Linked DNA regions of Lepisosteus oculatus. The protein of the gene in region 3 purifies or fractionates together with the protein of the main gene of each other region. This does not show direct contact. Links are inferred from orthologs where the notes say so. Each region holds a gene or a part of one and is shown on either strand. Other genes may lie near its edges.

Region 1 (6,969 bases), about 27 Mb from region 3:
TGGCTTTGGTCACTAAGATTACAGCTTGTTGACAAATTTCTTGTGGCACAGCTTTTAGCATTACTCCTGCTCCTGAGGTGATATCTGTTTCGAGTTTTGTATGTTATCTACATGTTCAATACAGTTTCCTCCAGGTGCTCCGGTTTCTTTACGCAGTCCAGAGACATACTGGTAGGTTAATTTGCTTCTGAGAAATTAGCCCTGGTGCAAGTGAGTATGTGTGTGTATCTGTGTGTGCTCTGTGATGAACTGGCCTCCCATCCAAGGTGTACCCCACCTTTTGCCCACTGCTTGCCAGGTTAGGCTCCGACTGCCCCATAATACTGAATTGGAAGAAGCAGTTAGAAAATGGATGGATGGTTTTGTTAACCAACTCACTGTAGAACCAATCAGCTTCAAAAATGGGCTGACTGGAACTGGATGGACATTTTTTCTAATTTAATTCTCATTTACTGAAACCATTTCCTGAGTTACAAAAAACGCTAACACATAAGTACAGTTCCCACCCACTAGGCTGATGGGTAACAGCCATTTTGTACCAGCAAACCCCACTGCACAACAGATCAGACAGAGACATAAGACACTGATTAAGAAATTGAACTAAGGAGGAACTTAATTGTGACCAGATCATTCAGCCCATAGTGGAATATAGTCAGGGCACTGGGGTTAATTTAAATTAAGGGTTAAAAGCTCTACTTTTACAGACAGTGTCATGGGATCTCTATTGACATCACATACTGTAGTCAGGACCCTGGTTTAACATCTTATTCAAAAGACTGCAGCAACAAAAAACATGGCACTGTCTCTGTCACTATCTCTTTGCAATGCGGTGACCAGATCAGTACATAATATTCTAAATTAGGTCTTATTAGTGTATGATACAAATGTACCATAATATCCATTGATTTAAATTGCTTTTAACTACATATTCTGTGTTTGTGTTTCCTCACTTTGCCTAAGAGGTGTAAATGATGTGTCAATATAAATACTTAAAGCAGTTTCATATGTCTTTTCAAGCTCAGTGTTTCCTATTTTGTATCTATAATTTACGTTTTTGCAACCGGCATACAATACTCTGCACTTGTCTACAATAACATTATCTGCCCGGTGTTAACCCAGGCTTAAATTACATTAAGAAAAGTCCTTCTACAGTATTTATTAATTCTTCTGGTTTTTTTTATCATCTTCACACTTCAATAGTTCACTGACTATACCAGAATCTTGATACAAATTAGGAACCGCAGTAATCCAAGTACAGATCCCTCAGGTACTCCATTAATTACATCCCCCCAGTGATCTCTGCTGTCTTATATTCACTGATCAGTTCTCAGTCCAAGTGGTTGCATACCTAGCCCCTGTAATTTGATAATGAATCTTTTATTTGGAACTTCAAAAATCTGAAAAGCTAAACATATTGTTTAAAATGCAATAACCAGATGAAAAACTGCCTATTCGCCGAACATTACTTGTTTTTTCGTACTTCGAAAGCAGGTGGATGCCGCTGTTTATCGCTCAAAGGCCTGGCTGCACGGGAAGCTGTTATTCTTGTCATAACGAGATTGATTCGTCTATCACATGATCGATTACTGTCAAAATTGTTACGTAAAAGTACACAGTTGAGAATGATAAATAATTGTTACAAATATCGCCACATGGTCCATTATACTCATGCACACTGCGAACAAAGCACTTAACTCCCGAATTACTGATTAAGTGTATAACATGAATATTAATTTGGTAAAATATTTACTAATGTGTTTAAAAATGATGTATCTTTCACTGTACATGAGCATGGTATATGGTATAACTTAATGCTATTTAGCTAGCTCTTGGACATAAGTAATACAAAGAGAAAAAAACAACAACAACAATACAATTGTGTAGCAAAAGAAAGACAGAGACAACAGGCAGTGTGCAAAAAACAACAACAGACGATGTGCAAAAAAACAACAACAGGCAATGTGCTAAACAACAAAAAGGTAACAGGTTATGTGCAAAAATATGCATTAACAGAATAAAATAAAGGGATAGAAAATATGGGGAGTGAGCTTTTGACATGTATGGTAGAGGTAGATTTTCAATGTGTGTTTGGGTTTTTGGTAAGAAAGAAAGAAAGGAAGAAGGCACTGTGAGGTTCAGATCATAGGTGAGAGGTGAGGTGAGAGTGAGAGTGAGAGAGGCTGGGAATTGAACAGTTTGATAGTGCGGGGGTAAAAACTCTCTCTGAGTCTGGTAGTCCGGGCCCGAATGCTCTGGTACCGTTTTCCAGATGGTAGCAGATCATAAAGTCTGTAGCTGGGGTGTGTGGGGTCTTTGATCATGCTTAGAGCTTTCCTCAAGCACCGCTGTCATAAATGTCCTGGATAGATGGGAGGGTAACCCCAGTGATGGACTGGGCAGTTTTCACCACCCGCTGTAGGGCTTTGCGGTCAGCAGCACTGCAGTTGCCATACCACACTGTGATGCAGCCTGTCAGTGTGCTTTCTGGAGTGCATCTGTAAAAGTTAGTGAGGATCTGGGGACATATCTTAGCCTTCCTCAACCGTCTTAGGAAGTACAGGCGCAGTTGCGCTTACTTGATCAGTAATTCTTTGGAATATACATGAAACTAAACTCTTGGATAAACATTTTTAAATAATAAGTATTCAAGTTAATCGTTTTTAGGAATAAAAATCAAAATCGTGACATGTTTTATTTGTATAAGACCCTGTAGAGGGTCGACGTTAGCTCTGCAGTACTCTATCTGCACTTTGTGATGATTATATGCGGAAAGGGGCGGCAAATCAAATGGTAACCAAGCAACCGGTACTCGCGCGAGAGCGAGGCCAGCGGAGGCAGGGCTGGTGCAGAGGGGGGACCTGGAAGCGGAAGCACGTGGTGGATGGACCTTGGCAGTTCTGGCTCATTCATTCGCGGGTCTGGATCGGGGGAAAAAAGAGGAGAGTGAGCGTGTCAGCAGGGTAAAGTTGACACCTTTTCGGCAGGGAGGACTGGAGTGGAGAGGGTTGCTGGAGGTGGATTCGGAAATCGGGCTTGGCACCTTGTTGTATGTGGAACCTAAAATCCGGAGCCAGGAGCAATCGAGGAGAGTAAAGAACGGAAATCCAGTTCGTTGGTGTTAATTGATATAAGCAGCAGCAGCCGCGTGTGAATGAATACTACAGCTATGATCAAGGAAAATCGCTGGAAAATACCTCCCAATGCCCCGGCTTGCATGGAAAAACATCTGGACTCAGTCCAGTACAGAGCAGGTAAATCATTAATTACGTGTTTAATTGGCGTGTCGTCTGTGGGTTATACATGGCGTGCATGTGGCCTGTTTGATCTCGGGTCTTTAATTGTATCGGTGAACCGGTCAAAATAACGTTTTACCTGACACTCTGTTTTCGTATGCCATTAGTGGCTGTATGTTTTATTTTTAATGAAAGCCACGCTATCCGTTCAACTGTGCATTGAAGGAGCACAGGAAACATAGTGATATCAAAGTTCTCGTAGTAGCAACCTGTTGTACATTACCGAGTAACCGCCGTGTGTCTGAACGTTTATGCCGCCGTTCACAATGTCTCTTACTATCTGGCAGGAGCCGCAGGTTATCTCGGAATGCGATCTTTCGTTAAAACTCTGCGAGACCACAAACCCGGGTAGTCGGCGGCGGTAGAAGCCATACAGCGTGACTGCTGTGTTTGCGCAGGCCCGCCCGGCGGTCCGGAGAGCTGTCCCGTCGTGTCGGCCAGCGTAGTGTGAAAACGAGCGTGGTTCTAGTGCTTTTGTACGATCCGAGTGCCCGGTACAGAAATTTGCTTCCTAGCTGGGCATAACCGCAGATATAAGTGCAATCGGAAGAGCCTATATTTTGGAACGTGTCAGCTGTTGATGGGGAGGGCTTTCTTTTTCTTCTTTTTGAGACAAAAAGACCTCATTTTGTTTGCTAGGTGTTTCCTCCCCCAGGGTGCCGGGGGGAGAAGGGGGGACTGTGGGGTGTTGCATATCTAGGTGACGGGATAGGGACAGAGGGCAGCAGGCTACAGGCAGCTGAGAACGGGACAGTGAGGAGACAGGGGTGCTCTGAAAGGGATTACGGGCAGAGGAGTGGATTGATAGGTCCATTTCCTGTCTTTAATTCAGTACGTGCTTAGGCAGATGCATCTGGGTATAAAACATCAATTAAAAACGTAATTGTTCTATTAGTAAAGGAGTGTGGCTTCCATTAGGAGATATTGCCTCAAGGCAGGTAGACGTCAGTACTTTCTCAGAACTAAACCTTTCCCTGGTACGTCTACATAAGAGAGGTTACACTTATTTGGAAAATGTAGGCTTTTGGTTGCTGAAACCCGATCAATCTGAGGGTCTTTACCAGCCATTTCTTGAAATAAACCACAGCTGTGTGGCTGGCCTTAAAGAATTGCCTCCCTTTCTCTATTTTAAATGCTCTTTCTCGTAGTTTCTGCTGGTGTGCTCTTCCTTGTGGAGCAGTGACCCATTTTCCCACAGTAGCTGGCTGATAGTTCTCCCTGGAGTGCCTCTGCCCTGAACGCTGTGGCGTTTGTTTTTCTCTCCTCCAGATGGCTCCCTGCTGCTCAGTGCCTCCAGCCTGATGGGGCGCTGCTGGCTGGGCTCCATCTGGGTGTTCAAGGACCCCCAGCTGGCGCCGAAAGAGGGGCACTGCAGCGCCGGGGTGCAGACCGAGGCCGGCGTGGCGGACGCGAAGTGGGTGTCCGAGCGGAGTATCCTCGTGGGCTCGGACTCCGGTGAGTTTCCTCGTTGTTCTGGTTGGAGTGGCAGAGCAGTAACCAGGGCCAGCTGGGCTCAGCACTGGAGATCAGCCTTTGTCGTGCTCTGAGTGTATGGGAGGGTGGCTAGAAGCAATGTATTACTTTTAAACCAGCAAAGAGAAAATCTGTTTGTATGTTATAATATATTTGATATTTAAATACCATATGTTATTGGCTTCATTGGGTGAAACTGTTGGGTGCAACAGCCTTAAGTGTTAGGAAGGTGAACGCTAGGGGGTAAGGTGTTTGGTGAATGCTAGGGGGGTAATTGAAGAAGTGTTGGTTTGCAGGAAAATGGCAATTGAAAATGCAACTGCTACATTGTTACTTCTCATTCCCCATATAGTAGTGATGGTGCATCTCATTCCCCATATAGTGGAGAATTTCACCCCCTTGTAAATTATCTTCCTACTCTCTGAAGCTTGAAGCCAGTTCTGATAGTGAAACATGAAAGCGATTTGTTCTGTCGTTTCTGTCGAGGAGAGCGCTGATGATTCAGTGAGTGGCTGGTTGAGGTTTTGTTATAGTTCGATTGTCCTCTTAATGTTCTGGTAAGGGAGTGGGAACCCAACTGGGCTTCTGTGACGAGAGAGAGAGGGAACTAGTTATCCCTGCTATGACTGAAGTGTCTGGGGCGACTGCTGTGCTGCTGTGAGTGTGTGGAGAGCTGACACACTGTGGTCTCTTCCATGTCTGCCTGTCTGTTGTCCCAGGCGCGGTGGAGCTGTGGGAGTTGGCTGAGGACGAGTCCCTGATCGTCAGCAAGTTCTGCCACCACCACCACGACGACATCGTCACTACCGTCAGCCCGCTGGCCCAGGGGACACAGGCGGTCAGTGGCAGCATGGACTGCTGGTCAGTGTGCTCTTCACTGCCTGCTCTCTGAAAGCCAGGAGCTCGTGCCTGCTGCCCTGTGCTGGGCCTTAATCCATCGAGCAGGACCATTGTGCTGCGTTGTGGCAGAAAAATGGAAATGTAGGAATTGATAAAAGAGTAAAACTTTGAAATAGACCTCTGTAAATCAGATTTTTTTACTTGCAGTGTTGACATCCATATTAGGACAGTGGATATGACCTCCTGTTTGTCTCCTGATCCCTTACACACACACATTCTGTTGTGTACAGGGCCACACAGAATGCGAGTACTCATTGTGTTTGTATATATAACCACCAGAAATAATTAGGTTAGAAAATGTTCTGTTTGGACTCTGATGTTCGGTTAGATTACAGTGTTAATGTGACTGACTATGGCAGGCATCTCCAACCCTGGTCCTGGAGAAACCCATTTTAGTTCGTTTTGTAGGTCAGGAACACCATGAAGATCAGTTAAGATCTGATGTGTAGATCGGTTAGGCAAGTAGGTTTTTCAGGTGAGAGACTTCTGGGCAGAATTTGGTCTCCAGTGATCTCTAAATTGCTCCATTTAAAAGATCACCTGATTAAGTGATCACAGTTAGATTGTCCCAGGTCTTCAAAAATCCATGATTTAATGGCCTACTTTAAAACCTGGTGGTGTACAAAGGGAATGTGGACATTAACTGTGTATGTCCTTTGAAACCTAATTAGCCTCAAGTTTTCAAATGTTAGCCGACTAGCTATTCTATAATGCCAATTTAAAATTGTAGGTCGTTATTACTGATTATTAATAGGAATTTTGTAATAAGATTAAGGTGGTTGTATTTATAAGACTGTACCCTTTAATAATATGAATACTCATTGGTTACGATGACTTGATTGAAATTGGGCGTGTCATGTATTTTGAGGTATCTGGATGTTTCAATTCAGTGTTATGTGTTAATGACTTTTGAAATGTTTGAGCACTTTGGTAAGTGCTTGAGATGATGAAGATAAGTGAAATATTATTCTTTAAACATTGAATTAAAGCGCTAGGCTTGAATATGTGATTATACCTTCGTGTTATATTGCTTGAACATCAACAGGTTTGGAGTCGCCTATTGTTATAGACTTTTCATATGGTCTTTTGCAGATGGTCTTTTTTTGTGTTGAAAGTACAGAGTAGCAGAACACCATCTGGCAAGCCATCTTTTGCAAGGCCTGAGTGCAGTTATACTTGTAGGATCGGTTTCTTAAAATGTTTAAAGTTTGGCATCTTGTCCTTATCCTTTTCCTTTCAGGATCAAAGTCTGGGATCTTGCCCAGGAAACTGTGGTCAACTCCTATAACGGTGAGTGGATTTG
Region 2 (6,969 bases), on a different chromosome or scaffold from region 3:
CACTTTCCCTGTGCACACGCAAGTTTGCCCTGCTGTGGGCTGGTGCTCTGTCCTGGAGCAGTCCTGCCTTATGCCACCTCTGAGAAGTTCCCCTCCTCCAGACACCATGGTGTTTCTGCTGGGCAGCTTGTTTTATTTTTCCTTACCAAGGGATAGGCACTTTTCTGGTATGGAATGGGTGTGAACTGATCTAAAGAGTATGATGGGGGGGCAAAACAAGCAAGTTTGGTAAACCTATAGCAGTTTTTCAGATTGCTTAACGTGCATCTTAAACTGAGCATGGATCTTTATAGCTTACACCCCTGTGTAAGGAAAAGTGCCCCTGTTCTGTTGTAAACGCACTTCCCTTCAGTTGTCACTTTTCGCCCCCGGTTCATGATTCAGTGTTGATTCTGAAGATGTCCAGCTGGTTGACTTTGTCATCGACTTCAATTACTTTAATCATTTTCAGTACTTGAATTGGACCCCTTGTGATCTTTGTTCAAGACTAAAAAGGTTCAGTTCTTATAGCCCGAGGAAGACATTCTTTTGTGATCAGAAATGTACATGTACTGTATGGGGCATCACTCCTCTGGACTGATTTCAGAATAGCAGTGTGTTGCAGAGTTTCTGGTGTAAAATAAAATTATCGTGGTGATTTCAGTCTTCTGCTTCCTCCAGAATGTTCCAGCCCCCTGAAGGAGAGGAGCAGTATTTTATTGTAATACAATGGCACTTGTCTGGGCTGTGTGGGTCAGGACCTCAGAGGTCCGCCTAAGAATGTGGTTTGAATCCAGAAGTATATGGTGTTATCCATAGAGATAATGTGTGCATTTTTCTTGCTATTAAATTACCCATACTTCCCCTTGGTTTAAAAAAATGTTTAGTTTAGGAGATACACAAGTCTTTCTTATAGTGCTTTAACATAGAAACCTTCAAGAGCAACTTTTTTTCTTCCTTAAAAAGTCATTTAAGGATATTTCTGTTTTGCACTGTAGTTTACAGAGTGCTACAGAACATGATTTGTACTTGCATAGGGAGTAATTACTGGTTTTAAGTGACCGCACAAGAGTAAGAAGGATACCAGCACTGAGTGCAACACTGAAGTCCATAATGCAGGCTTTCTTGATGAACACCATCCACCCAATATCACTGTAAAAGCTTTGCTGGGAAGGCAGGATGGCTGTGAATGACTTACTGTACAGTATATATTGAAGTGCATTTTATTTTGCCTCCAACACATGCTCAGACTTAACCTTGAAGTTACCCTCTTGTTGAGGGTCACAGTAGCGAACACCAGGTCTGAAAAAGCATAGCAATCTGTCGTCGTGTGGCGTGTGTGATCTGGACCACAGCTGGCAGCTTGTGTAGCACCTGTAATGTCTCACCAGTAAATAAAAGTTCTCAGGTGCCTTCTAACCCCTATCGCCATGGTCATGGTTCTGGAAGATGGTACCTCAGCAGGTGTGGTTGTGTGGTGTGCTTGAGCACTCGATGCATAAAATATCACAGTACATGTGCTTCTCAAGACGGGGCCATAAAGACGTGTTCTACCTGGAATGGACTGCTGGCTTTCGGACTGGGATTTGGTCATCTTGTCCTCATGATGGCCTGTCCACACTGTGTGACTGTAGCAGGTGCTGCAGTGGAAGACGAGGGTGTCACTTTCATGTCATTCCCTAGCTTTCTCGAGTATTTGAATGATCTCCACTGTAGGGGTGTAGGCCTTTTGGTACTGGATGTAGCATTTATCTTGGCTGTGTAGGTCAGGCACTTGAAAGTACGTGAGACAGCAGCTAGGATTTGGGATTCAACCCCACACACTACATTAATGCCATGCCTTGGACCTGTGGATAGGCAAGAGCCTATCAGTTTCTAAGCTTGCTGCGGGTTTTGGCGAGAGGGAGTTTGACAGGTCCTGCTGTGTAAGATGAGGCTGTCATAGTGATGTCGCAGTCATGGTGTTCACATAATTTCACTGTAACAGGCCCCCTGTACTCTATGAACCCTGTTATACACACAAAAAAATCTCACATTATATTTAATGAATTCTTAATGATGCCTAATTATTTATAAATTGAATACAATGTAATGCATGCAGGATAATGGAAAAAATGCAAGTAGAATGTACTGTATGCTGCGATACTGAATACATGGTATGGTTCGTCAAGACTCAGAACCCAGAAAGGAATTTTTGTCAGTTAAGCAGCTCTTTGCCTTTGCCAGGGTTCATTTAGAATTTGTGAAGACTAAATGTGTGCAATTAGTTACAAGAGTTTAATTATACATGAATGAACACTGCAGCTGGCGGGTGCTGTTAAAATAACATATGTCCTTTTAACCCATCGTGGCCAGGAACACAGTGCAGGAAACTGACCCAGGGACACTTTTTTCAAAAGCTGTTAAAGCTTATTAAGCGAATTTAAATTCAAACGTTCAGCGTGTTCCAAAATATATACCTTTGCTGCCCTGAATTACAAAAAAAGGACTCCGAAAATCTGTTCAAGAACATCTTTATTTTTGAAAGAAGATCATGTCCAATTTCAGACGTTCAGTTCTCGGAAATTTCACCAAAAAAAAAAACCCGAGTTAAACTGCTTATTTGGCCCAGCAAGATAATTCTGCTCGGGAGAAGTGGGCATCCCAAGTTCCACTCGAGACCGTCTACGTGTATTTTCAGTCGAACGGGGTTTGCTCTGCTTCGGCGCCGTGTTCGTTTTGGGGTGACTTCGGTGGCCATCCCTCGCCCCGCTAGGTCCTGCAACACGCGTGTGGGTCGCCCGTACCGGCCGTGACTCATCCCGGAGGTGGGCTCTCATTCGCTCCCGCATCTTCTGCTAGAATAAGCGGAGGGTGCGCTGGCTGTCCTCGTGTATCCCAGAATGCCGCGCTGTCCCGTATCTCCTGCTCAGCCCGCTGGCGCTGGCGGTGACACAGCTGGCGAGCAGAGAGCGGACTGAGCTGCAGCCTCATCAGCCGAGCGGGGGGACACGGGATACCCGGTAAAAAGCTAGCAACTTATCGTATGCAAAAAAAAAAGGGGGATCTGCGGGCTCACGTTGTGTTGCATCGAAAGTGTCAAAGCGAAAACGAGAATTTTTGTAGCTGTGTTTGCAGGAATGAGGTAGGGAAGGGGGCACACTGTACATTTCCTGGGCATGCATCGCCCTGATACTGTATACAGTATGCGCGTCCTGTTTTTTTTTCTCCCCACAAAATAAATCTCTTCGGGCAAATCAGTGCGATTCCTTTTAGATGTGCCAGATTGTGTGTGTGTGTGTTTGCGTGTGCGTTTTTTTTTGTGTGTGCCTGCGTTAACGTCTACGGTGGCTATTTAAATACATCCGTGCACTCGAGGTTGTCGCCGCAGGAAGAAAAATCTGTGGTTGATACTTTGATACATTTAGAAGCTGTGAAGTAGCTGCAGGGAATTCATTTTGCGGAAAAAAGAGACTCCGGTCACTGAGTTTATTTCAATGCGGAGCACTTGAAAAAGTTTTTCTTGTATCCGTTAGGAAAAAAAAATGAAGACGATGTTTTAGCTAATAACGGCAAGGGTTTATAGCTCGTTTGCTCGCTTCAGTATTTTAGTGGCTGAAGTACGCGAGTCGCCGCCTCGGATGTCCAGTGCGACTCTCCTGCTTTCGGTCACTTCAGACCTGACACGACACCCCAGCGGTGCTCTGTGTGTTAGTTCTGCAATGCGGTGGGTGTGGTTTGGATGTAGTAACCGGGAGATGTGAACCTCTGCAGTCACAGCACACTCCACCGCCCCCCCGTCTGACTTGGCATTTTTTGCATCAAACAGAAATACACACCTATATTCTCTGTACGTGTGTGAAAAACGCTCAGTCGTGACAGCCCGTGACCCCCCCACGGCCACTAATACTCCATGCTACCAGTGTACGGTGAAAAAACAAGGGAGCAGTCTGGACGAAATAGCCGGTTATTGGTAAGTCTCCGGGAAACCAGATGGTTTTCATCAAATGAGGGGAAAATCGGCGGAGAGACGGGCGATATTGTAAGTCGCGCTTTGATTAATTTTCCAGCCTCGGCAATACAGTATACTCGTTTGCTTTGATGGAAATGGTTTTTCTGTGTGTTACTCAGCGTTTCACGTAACTAACCTTGGTGTTGCGATTTTATACGGACTTTTTTGTGACTTTTTAACATGCACATTCAAAATCCCTACTGGTTGCTTTGGAAGAATTTTTATTAATTGTATTGCATCGATAACTATTTCATCCTCTTAATTTTTCTAACGCTGGAGTGGATTGCTTGGAAACTAGCGATCAATTACCCGAGATGTGTTTTTTTTTTTAATGAAGGGGAGACTAGAAAAGTGTTAACCTTCAACTGCTAAGTACAGAATATATACAGTGCATTCTGATTTTACTGCAATGATGAGCCTGGCTTCAGGTTAAGAAGGTGAAGTACCTCCTACAACGCAAACCAGAGCGAATAGAGGTCTTCTTTCTGCGAAGTCATTCACAAAACATTTAAATTTTTTGGTTAATGTTTTGTGCAAAAAAAAAAATCGACACGCTTGAACCCAGAAGTTATCTTTACGCCGGAAGCAATGCTGCATTCGATAAAGGAGATGAAATATTTTAAAGTGTTTCTTGTTGTGGATGTCTCTCTTATCTAAGCAGCAAGGGTCTCTTGATCCTGAGGGTCTGGCTAATATTTGTCCTCCTGACAGCTTGCCATTTTGACTTATGGTTTTCCTCCTTTCTTCTCGGGCCCACCCTGAGGCTCGGCAGAAACAACGTGAACTCGCACGTCTGCTCACTAATGACCGTAGACTGTGCCACTGGGCACGGTGGCTGTTCTCCCATGTACTGTCAATTATAAAACATTTCAACTCATCTGAAGTAAGTGGCCATCATAACTACATACGGTGTTGCTAGTGGTCCTCCTCCCGAGAAATGAAGCTATGCCTGTTATATTTATCACAGAGAGAAAGGTCTGAGTGTATTCATCAAATGTACTTTTACAGCACCTAAGCAGGCTGACAGAATGCCCCTGACAAATGTGTTCACAAGGGAGACAAAAACGGCATTAAAAATTAACGGGGCCAGTCTGTGTTGCTGTGGAATTAGATCAAAGACCTTATCTGATTTTTTTTTTCCAGGTATACAGGAAAGAAAAAAATCCAATATCCGGATGGACTTTTATCTTTATAGAAAAAGCCGTAGCGTACTATTAACATGTAATATTAATATCCCATTTTTTTTCCTTTTACTTCGGTTCGTCTAAAAAAAAAATAATTTCCATATCAAGTCCTGCTAAATTGACTATTCTGTAGACCTGCCTATAAATAAATAGGTATTTCAGATCTGTAAGAAATGTTCTACTCATTTACTTAGTATTTCAGGTCTCACCTATTTTTAAGTGCTGCTGTGTTTATTTTCCGTTATAATACGTTTCATTTTGACCTAAATGCTGATGTCACATGGCGGGTATTTCCACAGTCCTTGAACGCTGTGGCAACACAGATGAGAGTAAGTAGTCGAAGGGATAGGGAGAAAAAAAATGAAAAGGCTGAGATCATTAACGAAGAGGGGAATTGCACGGTCAGTTTATTTTTTGGTTTCTTAATCGTTTGCCTTGAACAGATGAAAATGTAAAATGTTCTAAGAATGGGGAAGCTGGAATTTCTGGTGCTTCCCATAGTGCAAAGCTTATAATACAGACTGTAGCACACAGCAAGTCTGGCAAGTCACCGTCACAGACAAGCTTACCGTAGGTGTCAACAAGAATGGGGAAGGTACCTGACTTAATGGACTATTCTGGAATCAGCTCTTAAAAAGGTTCAAATCATCTGCTTTAGATTAAATCAAGATTAAAACATTGTAATTTTAGATCTTATTAGCTAAAGAACACAATTATTTCTAACCAAATATAAGCTAGCACAGCTCTGTTTTTAATTATATTTGTGGCGTATTACAGGATGCTCTCAATAAATCCTGATATAAGAAGGCTGAGTTCTTATATTTAGAATTTAATAAGTAGTTAGAGATGCACGCTGCATCCTGTCAGTTAAGGTTTAGGTTAAAATGTTGCAATCCGACTGGTCGACCATACCAGTGCTGGCCGGGCCCAGCCTTGCTCAGCCTCCGAGATCTAATGAGATCAGGTTACAGAGCGGTAAGGCTGCTGTCTGTCTTCTTTCTTTTGATGATATCATAAATGGAGAAGTTTTAAAACAGCTTTATTGGTTACAATTTAGATTCTCAAAAGCTTAATTAAAGGTGCAGAATGTTTCCACTATTCGTATAATTTTATAGCGTACTGTACATCGGTGTTACATCCTGCATGCTTCTCTGTGTGTGCTCCTAGCAGGTAAAGCAGAAGCAGGAGACTGCAAATTGAGCTGATTGTATTTTAGGAATACTGATGTCGTTCAAACCCTTTAGTTACGGAGCAAGGCTGCATAATAACAAAATTGATGAATAATTACTGTAGGTAAGCTGTAGATCAGAGAGATTTGTCTACAATGTTGTGCTCAGTGTTAATACTGCTAGCTAACTACTTCAGGAAATAGAATTTAATTCCTTGAAAAGGTTTAGTTTACCTTTTCCACCAGGAAGGCATATCTGTGGACAGCATGTGTATGAGAATATGTCTCTTTTAATGTCATCCATTGGCTTCCAAGTGACATTTTAACATTTGGTCGAGTAAACAGAGAACAGGGCTGTTTAATGACTTAAAACCTGCATGCGCATCCATCGTTTTTGTAGTTTGAACAAAAATTGCATGATTTGGTATTAAATTGAATTTTCGTTCGTAACAATTAATGCTTTAAAAGCTTTCTGACAAGACATTTTCTGGCCTGTGTCTCTCACGGCTCTGCATTTTCTCAGGATTTTCTATCAGTGGGTTAAAAGGTTTCAAAATTGAGTGGTGGCAGTTATTTGACATTTTTAATAGTCCTTCTTTTCATATTTATCTGCCAGTTCAAATGCATGTATTTTTAGATGAACGTCT
Region 3 (6,969 bases):
TTTTTTCAGCATGGAATAAACCTATTACTTTTTCCTTTGCAGCCTACGCATGCTGACGCAGCTACCTACCTGAATTAATTTGTTTACCCTCGTTTTAGCATTTGAACATAGTGCCCGGTCATATTTAGGCTTTGCATTCTCATGTCCATCAAAGCCTTTTGCAAGGGACTTGCCTTCTGCTGGAGAAAAATATTTGAGAAAATACTGAATTATCAGGAGTGAGAAAGATGTACATGCAGTTTCTCCAACATACTGTTTTTGATACTTTAAATTGAGTCCATGTTGTGTGCTCTCAAGATTTTAAATAGGTCTTCTGTTGCTTTAATTCCACAATTATTGTTGGTCTAAATAAAATAATGGAAAATCAGTGCCAATATTTTTAAGTGTTTAGTGTTGTCTCACTACAGTCTGGTCAAATATTTGTGTATAAGCTAGGCCATTGGCCGTAGATGTTAGCTCCAGGCCTTAGTCTGTGTAACATTTTTTCTTTGTTTTCTTTCAGAGCGTTTTGTTAAACCTGCTGTAATTTCTTTCGTATAAATAAAACTTGTAAATTTGTCATAAAAAGCTTCATCCTGTCTGCCTTAACTAGTTTCCTATATTACAGCAAAATTCCCAGTGTAGGTTTTTATTTTTGTCTTAAGCCAGCAGCCATATCACCCTGCAACTCACAATTGGCAACCCACTGAAGCTCAGCAGGTGTGAGCCTGGTCAGTACCTGGATAGGAGACCACCTGGGAAAAACTAAGGTTTCTGCTGGAAGAGGTGTTAGTGGGGCCAGCAGGGGGCGATCACCCTGTGGTCCATGTGGGTCCTAATGCCCCAGTGTAGTGATGGGGACACTATACTGTAAACAGGTGCCGTCTTTCGGATGAGACGTAAAACCAAGGTCCTGACTCTCTGGTCATTAAAAAATCCCAGGGTGTTTCTCGAAAAGTGTAGGGGTGTAACAACCTGGCCAAATTTCCCATTGGCCCTTACTAATCATGGCCTCCTAATAATCCCCATCTATGAATTGGCTACATTACTCTGCTCTCATCCTCACTGATAGCTGATGTGTGGTGAGTGTTCTGGCACACTATGGCTGCCGTCGCATCATCCAGGTGGATGCTGCACATTGGTGGTGGTGGAGGGGAGTCCCCATTACCTGTAAAGTGCTTTGAGTGGAGTGTCCAGAAAAGCGCTACATAAGTGTAAGCAATTATTATTATTATAAGACTGTACTGGTTCTGCACTTTAAGTATCTTCAATGAATGTGTATGTGAATTTTACTGCCAGATAGTAAAATCAGAGGGCAGTGTCTTTGCTGTTAACAATAGATGCTATAAGCGTTTTCAGCCACTTCTTTTCGAGCATTAAAAAGACATTTTAAAGTAGCTTTATGTGTCATTTAAGTAACGCTTGGAATCGAGGACGGTAGAATCAAGTTCACAAAGTATGAAAACAGCAGCTTTATAATGATGAAATCGAAAATACAAAGGCGTACTGTATCTGCCTCTGCCAATTGCTTTATTATATATTTTCCATTGTGTAGGAAGTCAACATCGGAAGATTCACATCCAATTACTTTACCGTTACAAACCCGGTGGATGTCATAAGAGAAGTATTAAATCTAGACTTCAATCTGTTTCGGGTAGCGATGTTTATTGAATTTTACGTCTGTGGGAAATATACGATCTCTTAAAAAATAAATCACTCTGGTGAGCTCAAACCTACAGTATGTCTGTTTACAAAGCTGATTCAAAATCCCCAAGTATTCAATTTTTGCGGTATTTTGTTATTACGGTTTTTTTTTGCGATAATCCATTCATACAGCAATAGCAATTTCTACAACTGGTACCCTTTCATCATTCTGTCATCACCAAGATTTTTAAAAACAAGGTAATGTTGTACTCGATTCTGTCACAATTTCCTTGTTAAAACAATTTTGGGGCGGTGGTAAACATACAGTTCGTAAACATACCACCATGATACAAAGAGAGTATCACCATGATATAGCGGCAGTGTTTGGTGCAATTGCGTTTTAAAAAGCAATTTAACCAGAGTTCTGCACTCTCGTTTAGAAATCTAGAAAGATCATATGAACTACAGCACCGTGCTTATTTATATAAATGGAATTTAATAATAAAATTGTGACTTAATCTCCACCAGTCACTGAGCTTCGTGTTCTAAATGTATCTTTATTATGACCTCTAAAGCACACAAAAGTTAATTAACCTAAGAACCTTTAGCCTTAACCAGTTGTCATCTTTGCGACAATGGGCTCTGTACCCAAATCGCAGTTTCCTACAAATTGTGTGTTAGCAGAGCTGTTATCTGAAGTCTAACCTGCACATAAGCCGTCACATCCGTGAAGATGACTATGAAATACACTTAATCAACTGCGATCTACTGCTTTCAGACTCACCTTGGTTTTATTTTTTATAAACAGTTTAGGCAATACCAAATTCGTGTTAATCACTTTGAGGAGAGATCTAAAAAGATGTAAGAAATACATGTTCAAGATATGTCTGTATCACCAATGCTCCAATACTTGATATTAATCAACCATCATTGTTATCAGTAACGATGAAGATGGCTAAGGTCTTCAATTGTGCAACTAAACTCCAGTCCTGTAGATGGCGCTATTAAATAATCGTACCGTTCTTTGGCGCTGTGCTCACGTCTTTGACTTCAGGGCAAGCTTGCCCATATGTTTGGCGGGGGATAGCTTCAGAGGAAGAGAAGCAGCCTAGAGAAGCATGGGGTTTGTTTTCCACTGAGCGACTGCGGGAGTGAGGCGACTTTTACGGAGAAACAAACAGACCAGGACTGTACCCTTTTGCTCCAGCCTTTCGTTATAAATACAGCCGTGCGAGTGAAAACTGAATCGCAGTTTTTATTTTTATTTTTTTTTTGCCCTCTGCTTGATCGGATTTCTCGCTGTCGTTTGCGGTTTAGGCCGGCTTTTCTCGGCGATCTGCGGGGCTGTTTCTGTGTCGTTGTTTTTTAACGGGGGGTCAGGCGCGGCACTTTTCCTTAAGACGATGGTTTTGCTGAAAAACGTCTCCCCTCCCAGTGAAGGCGTCAGGCACCAGCAGGCTGAAACGACGGCAGTGCTGGATGGCAAGGGGCTGGGCTCTGGCACCCTCTACGTTGCAGAAAAGTAAGTGCGCTATCACACGGGTTAGGACTGGTCAACTGAAAACTCTTTTTCGCCTGCCCCTTTGATGTGTGTAAAAAGCGAAAGAGAAACCTGTTTAGGGTGGGAAAAAAAGTTCTTGCCTCATCTCACCCTGCTTCTCCAGATGATCAACAGGTATCTGAGGGGGAAAGGCGACACTGCCCGGTGTGCGATGTCAAACACGTGACAGCGCGCTACACCTGTGATGGCCAAGCACCCCTCGCCAGAAGGAAAACCCCCAACTCTTTCCGATGCGTCGTTTTGTACGATCGTCCTCTCCGATTGTGCCAGCAGTAAAAATGCATCATCAGCAGATGCCAAAAAAACTTTCTCCGGAGTCTTTCTGGAAAAAAAAAACAACATTTGCGAGTCCGCAGACAAAGATCGCGTCATCGTGGTTTTGCCTGTGATTTCGGACTACTCCTATGCAGTTGGCGCGATTGAGACGTTGGGGGTGTAGGGAGTGACTCGCGTGTGCACCCACCTAATCCGCCACCGTCTTTCTTTTCGTGTGTTTTGTGACAGCCGCCTGTCGTGGTTTGACGTGTCGGGAAAGGGCTTCTCTCTGGAATACCCCTCCATCAGCCTCCACGCCATCTCCCGCGATCTCAGCGCCTATCCCCAGGAGCATCTGTACGTCATGGTCAACGCCAAGCTGAGCGGTGAGGCGGCGTGCTGTTGATGAATGATGACGGGACAGCTGACACTAAGAAAAAAAATCTTTAGAAAGGGACGATCGACTGGCAATCGTAAGGATTACAGTTGAAGTTGGGGGCTGGAATAAAGTAGTTTAGTGATTTGCTCCGATTTGAACAGTTATGAGGAGGAAAAACGCTCCCTCTTGAGAATACATTGGATTCAATAAACCTATTTCTCCAGGCCCATCAATATTCTACATAGTGTAAAAAAAATACAGTACAGCCTTGTCCTGCCCAGCAAGCACATGAAGGGCTAAAGTGTGCCTGTTCGGTTCTGGATAACATACTCGTGCATTCATTGCGGCTGAACTAAATTGGCACCAGCATGGCACTCTTTTTTGTAACTACCTGAAAACGGTTTGAAGGGAAGATCGGGGAATAAACCCTGTGCAGTAAAGGAAAAGAGTTGTGGTCTTTCATGCCACCTCAAATGCTGATTATTGACTGAACAGGCTTTTGAATATGCAGGCGAGTCCAGCCTTGATGGCCATATCGCAGGTAGATATGTGGAGCTGTGGAGGCATCGCAATACAGCAGTGGGTGGCTTGGGCGGCTGCGTTTATTATTCTGTGCTCGTCAATGCTGCCTTGCACTCTGCTGTAGAGTTATTCTCCTGGTGTTCCAAGCATGAGAGAAGCAAAGAGACCGTTCTTTCTTCCCTTAGGGTCGTACAGTCTCAAGCTGTCTTGAACAGCCCCGCACAGATTTCCACCCCGTTCTATAGCCCTCTGCTGAAATAAAAGCGCATTGTTACTCCCAGGGACTCCTGCCAGTCCCCACTGCAGAAAGACATTTAAATAAGCCTGGAAGCTGCTGAGCACAGATAAGTAGCACCCAGCTATAACATAAAATTAAAATGAATGTGATGCTACATTTTAGACAGCTGGTATTGTACTTTGTGTTTGCTGCCATAAAGTGCCGATGTTTATTTTGGTGTAGCTGGAAAAGATTTGTTTAGGAACTAGCAAATGCCTAGTCTGGTTACTTCCACAAGGATACAGGAGATTACCACTAGGAAATCTGAAGAAACTTCGCTTTTCTCTTTTTGACTGGATATTATTTCACTCTTAGTTTATTTAAATGAAAGCAGGACTTCTTTGTATTCAAATATAAAGAACTTACAAAAGCTTCACATTGACTTTGCACTATCTTTGGGTACCTACTAGCAACAATCAGCAGGATGTTACCTCAGTGAACAGCGAAGCAGTGCCATAAATCATAAGGCCTTGTACATACCTTCCACTGAGGGGCACAGACTGGCAAGGGCTCTCTCTAAAGCCTGCTACATGAGCCTTTTACAAGCTACAGTAACAGTGCCTTTCATCTAAATCCAGCCCCAGCCCCCACTTTTGGCTTAATGCCATCTCTGCCATGTTGGTGTTCACTTGGTCAAACCCATTGAAGTTAACATGAATTATACTGGATCACGGGCCAGGAAGTTTGTTTCTTTTTTGCTTGTTTGGCCTGTTAGCTGTGCATCTATGGTGGTGGAATCTGAGCTGTGCAAAGCCGGTCTCCCAGAAACAAGAGTCCCAGTAGTCTGAGAGGCTTGCCTGCGGTACTGTTCTGTGAAAGTTCTTAAAGTGACGCTTCCCTTTCCAGGCACTGGAGAACGGCACTCCTTAAACCAAGTTTTAATTTTACCTGAACCATTTGGAAGGACAGACGGACCAAAATGATCATGCTCTAGGCTCTCTGCGCAGTGCAAGCCAGCAAGTACAATTAGACCCCTTTGGCTCTCTCTCTGTAGAGGAAGCATGGCCCTGGCTTGATTTTCTCATCCCTTTCTAGATGAAGAGGTGACAGAATCTCAGATGGAGGAGAAAGCAGCTGAAGGAGAGGATGAGGACGATGAGAGCGATGACGACTCGGACCCCATCACAGAAATCCGATTTGTTCCCAGTGATAAGATGGCGTGTGAGTTTGGAAAAATCTTCCCTTCTGTGCTGTGCCGGGTGCTCAACCTGTCAGTACGTATGATAGCCTACGTAGTTGTCAGTGTTTGTAATTTGTTTTTTGGGGGGTAAAAAGTTTTTGTGTTTTTCCCTGAGCAGATTAATTTGTGTATAGTCCCAGCTGGTGTGCTTTATAACTTTAGTTTACAGTAAACGGCAAATACCATGTAACTGTTAGACTATGGAAGGAGTTTTTGAAGGATTTACGATTGAGTAAACAGGGTGAAAGGTGTACAGGGTAGGATGCTTTAACAAAGATGAGAAAAGCTAATATATATGCTGAAAAGCTAATATTTACACTGAAGACTAAGGTGGTAGGGAAAAAAATGCTGAGGAAAATAGTCAGAAGGTTGAAACTAGAGGTGGTGATGCGTTTGTAGAGGCCTGTGGGAAACTGCATGAATAGGGTTCTGGAACGGTCCTGAAAGAGAATCCTGGCAAGATTGTGGAAGACACCCTGAGAGCGAAGCCTATTCTCTGTGTTGCAGTGGAGCCCATGTTCTCTGCCATGTGTGAGTGCCAGGCACTGCACCCTGACCCTGAGGACTCTGACTCCGATGATGAGTTTGAAGGAGAGGAATACGATGTGGAGGAAGCTGGTGAGTTATAGGGCCTGGAGGACAAACTCCTGTAAAACCTTGTTTCAATTTTAAAGTGAATGGCTGTCATTTTTTAGACTGGGGTGCGGTGGCTCTGTGGCTAAGGATCTGCGCCGGTGGCTGGAAGGTTGCCGGTTCAAATCCTGCAGCTATCAGAGGAATCCTACTCCGTTGGGCCCCTGAGCAAGGCCCTTAACCCCAGCTGCTCCAGGGGTGCTGTACAATAGCTGACCCTGCGCTCTGACCCCAGGCTTCTCTCCCTGTCTGTGTGTCTGTGTCTCACGGAGAGCAAGCTGGGGTATGCGAAAAGAAAACTTCCTAATAATTGTATAGGGCTAATAAAGTGATGTTATGTTATAAATTCCACACCTCAGATTCCATATTTGAAATCGGGAGTTTTCCCATTCTTCTTAAACCAGCCCTTGATGAGTCAGCGGCAATGTTTGTTTGATTTGCATTTGTTTGTAGGTTTTAAAAATTTTGGGGGGTTTTATAACGGGGAACTGCAGTCCCAATTTCTCAGACCGGTTATTCAATCTAATTAACAAAATAAA

What was found. Proteins that work in one complex are often made in the same cells at the same time.
Region 1: the proteins of clns1a (region 3) and wdr77 purify together in Homo sapiens (affinity purification with mass spectrometry; 6 studies listed by BioGRID and IntAct, with this or other methods). This does not show direct contact. The link is inferred for Lepisosteus oculatus from reciprocal best matches to the Homo sapiens genes CLNS1A and WDR77.
Region 2: the proteins of clns1a (region 3) and epb41l3a purify together in Homo sapiens (affinity purification with mass spectrometry; 3 studies listed by BioGRID and IntAct, with this or other methods). This does not show direct contact. The link is inferred for Lepisosteus oculatus from reciprocal best matches to the Homo sapiens genes CLNS1A and EPB41L3.

Annotation. Positions count from the first base shown.
Region 1 is NC_090700.1:36,484,092-36,491,060, reverse strand, and holds the start of wdr77 (methylosome protein WDR77), read left to right. Parts: upstream 1-2,846; 5' UTR 2,847-3,151; coding exon 3,152-3,251; intron 3,252-4,562; coding exon 4,563-4,748; intron 4,749-5,485; coding exon 5,486-5,627; intron 5,628-6,906; coding exon 6,907-6,956; intron 6,957-6,969. UniProt on the Homo sapiens protein: Non-catalytic component of the methylosome complex, composed of PRMT5, WDR77 and CLNS1A, which modifies specific arginines to dimethylarginines in several spliceosomal Sm proteins and histones.
Region 2 is NC_090701.1:55,494,410-55,501,378, reverse strand, and holds the start of epb41l3a (band 4.1-like protein 3a), read left to right. Parts: upstream 1-2,863; 5' UTR 2,864-2,981; intron 2,982-3,742; exon of another isoform or gene 3,743-3,931; intron 3,932-6,969. UniProt on the Homo sapiens protein: Tumor suppressor that inhibits cell proliferation and promotes apoptosis. Modulates the activity of protein arginine N-methyltransferases, including PRMT3 and PRMT5.
Region 3 is NC_090700.1:9,908,751-9,915,719, forward strand, and holds the start of clns1a (methylosome subunit pICln), read left to right. Parts: upstream 1-2,685; 5' UTR 2,686-3,026; coding exon 3,027-3,145; intron 3,146-3,688; coding exon 3,689-3,825; intron 3,826-5,652; coding exon 5,653-5,778; intron 5,779-6,304; coding exon 6,305-6,415; intron 6,416-6,969. UniProt on the Homo sapiens protein: Involved in both the assembly of spliceosomal snRNPs and the methylation of Sm proteins.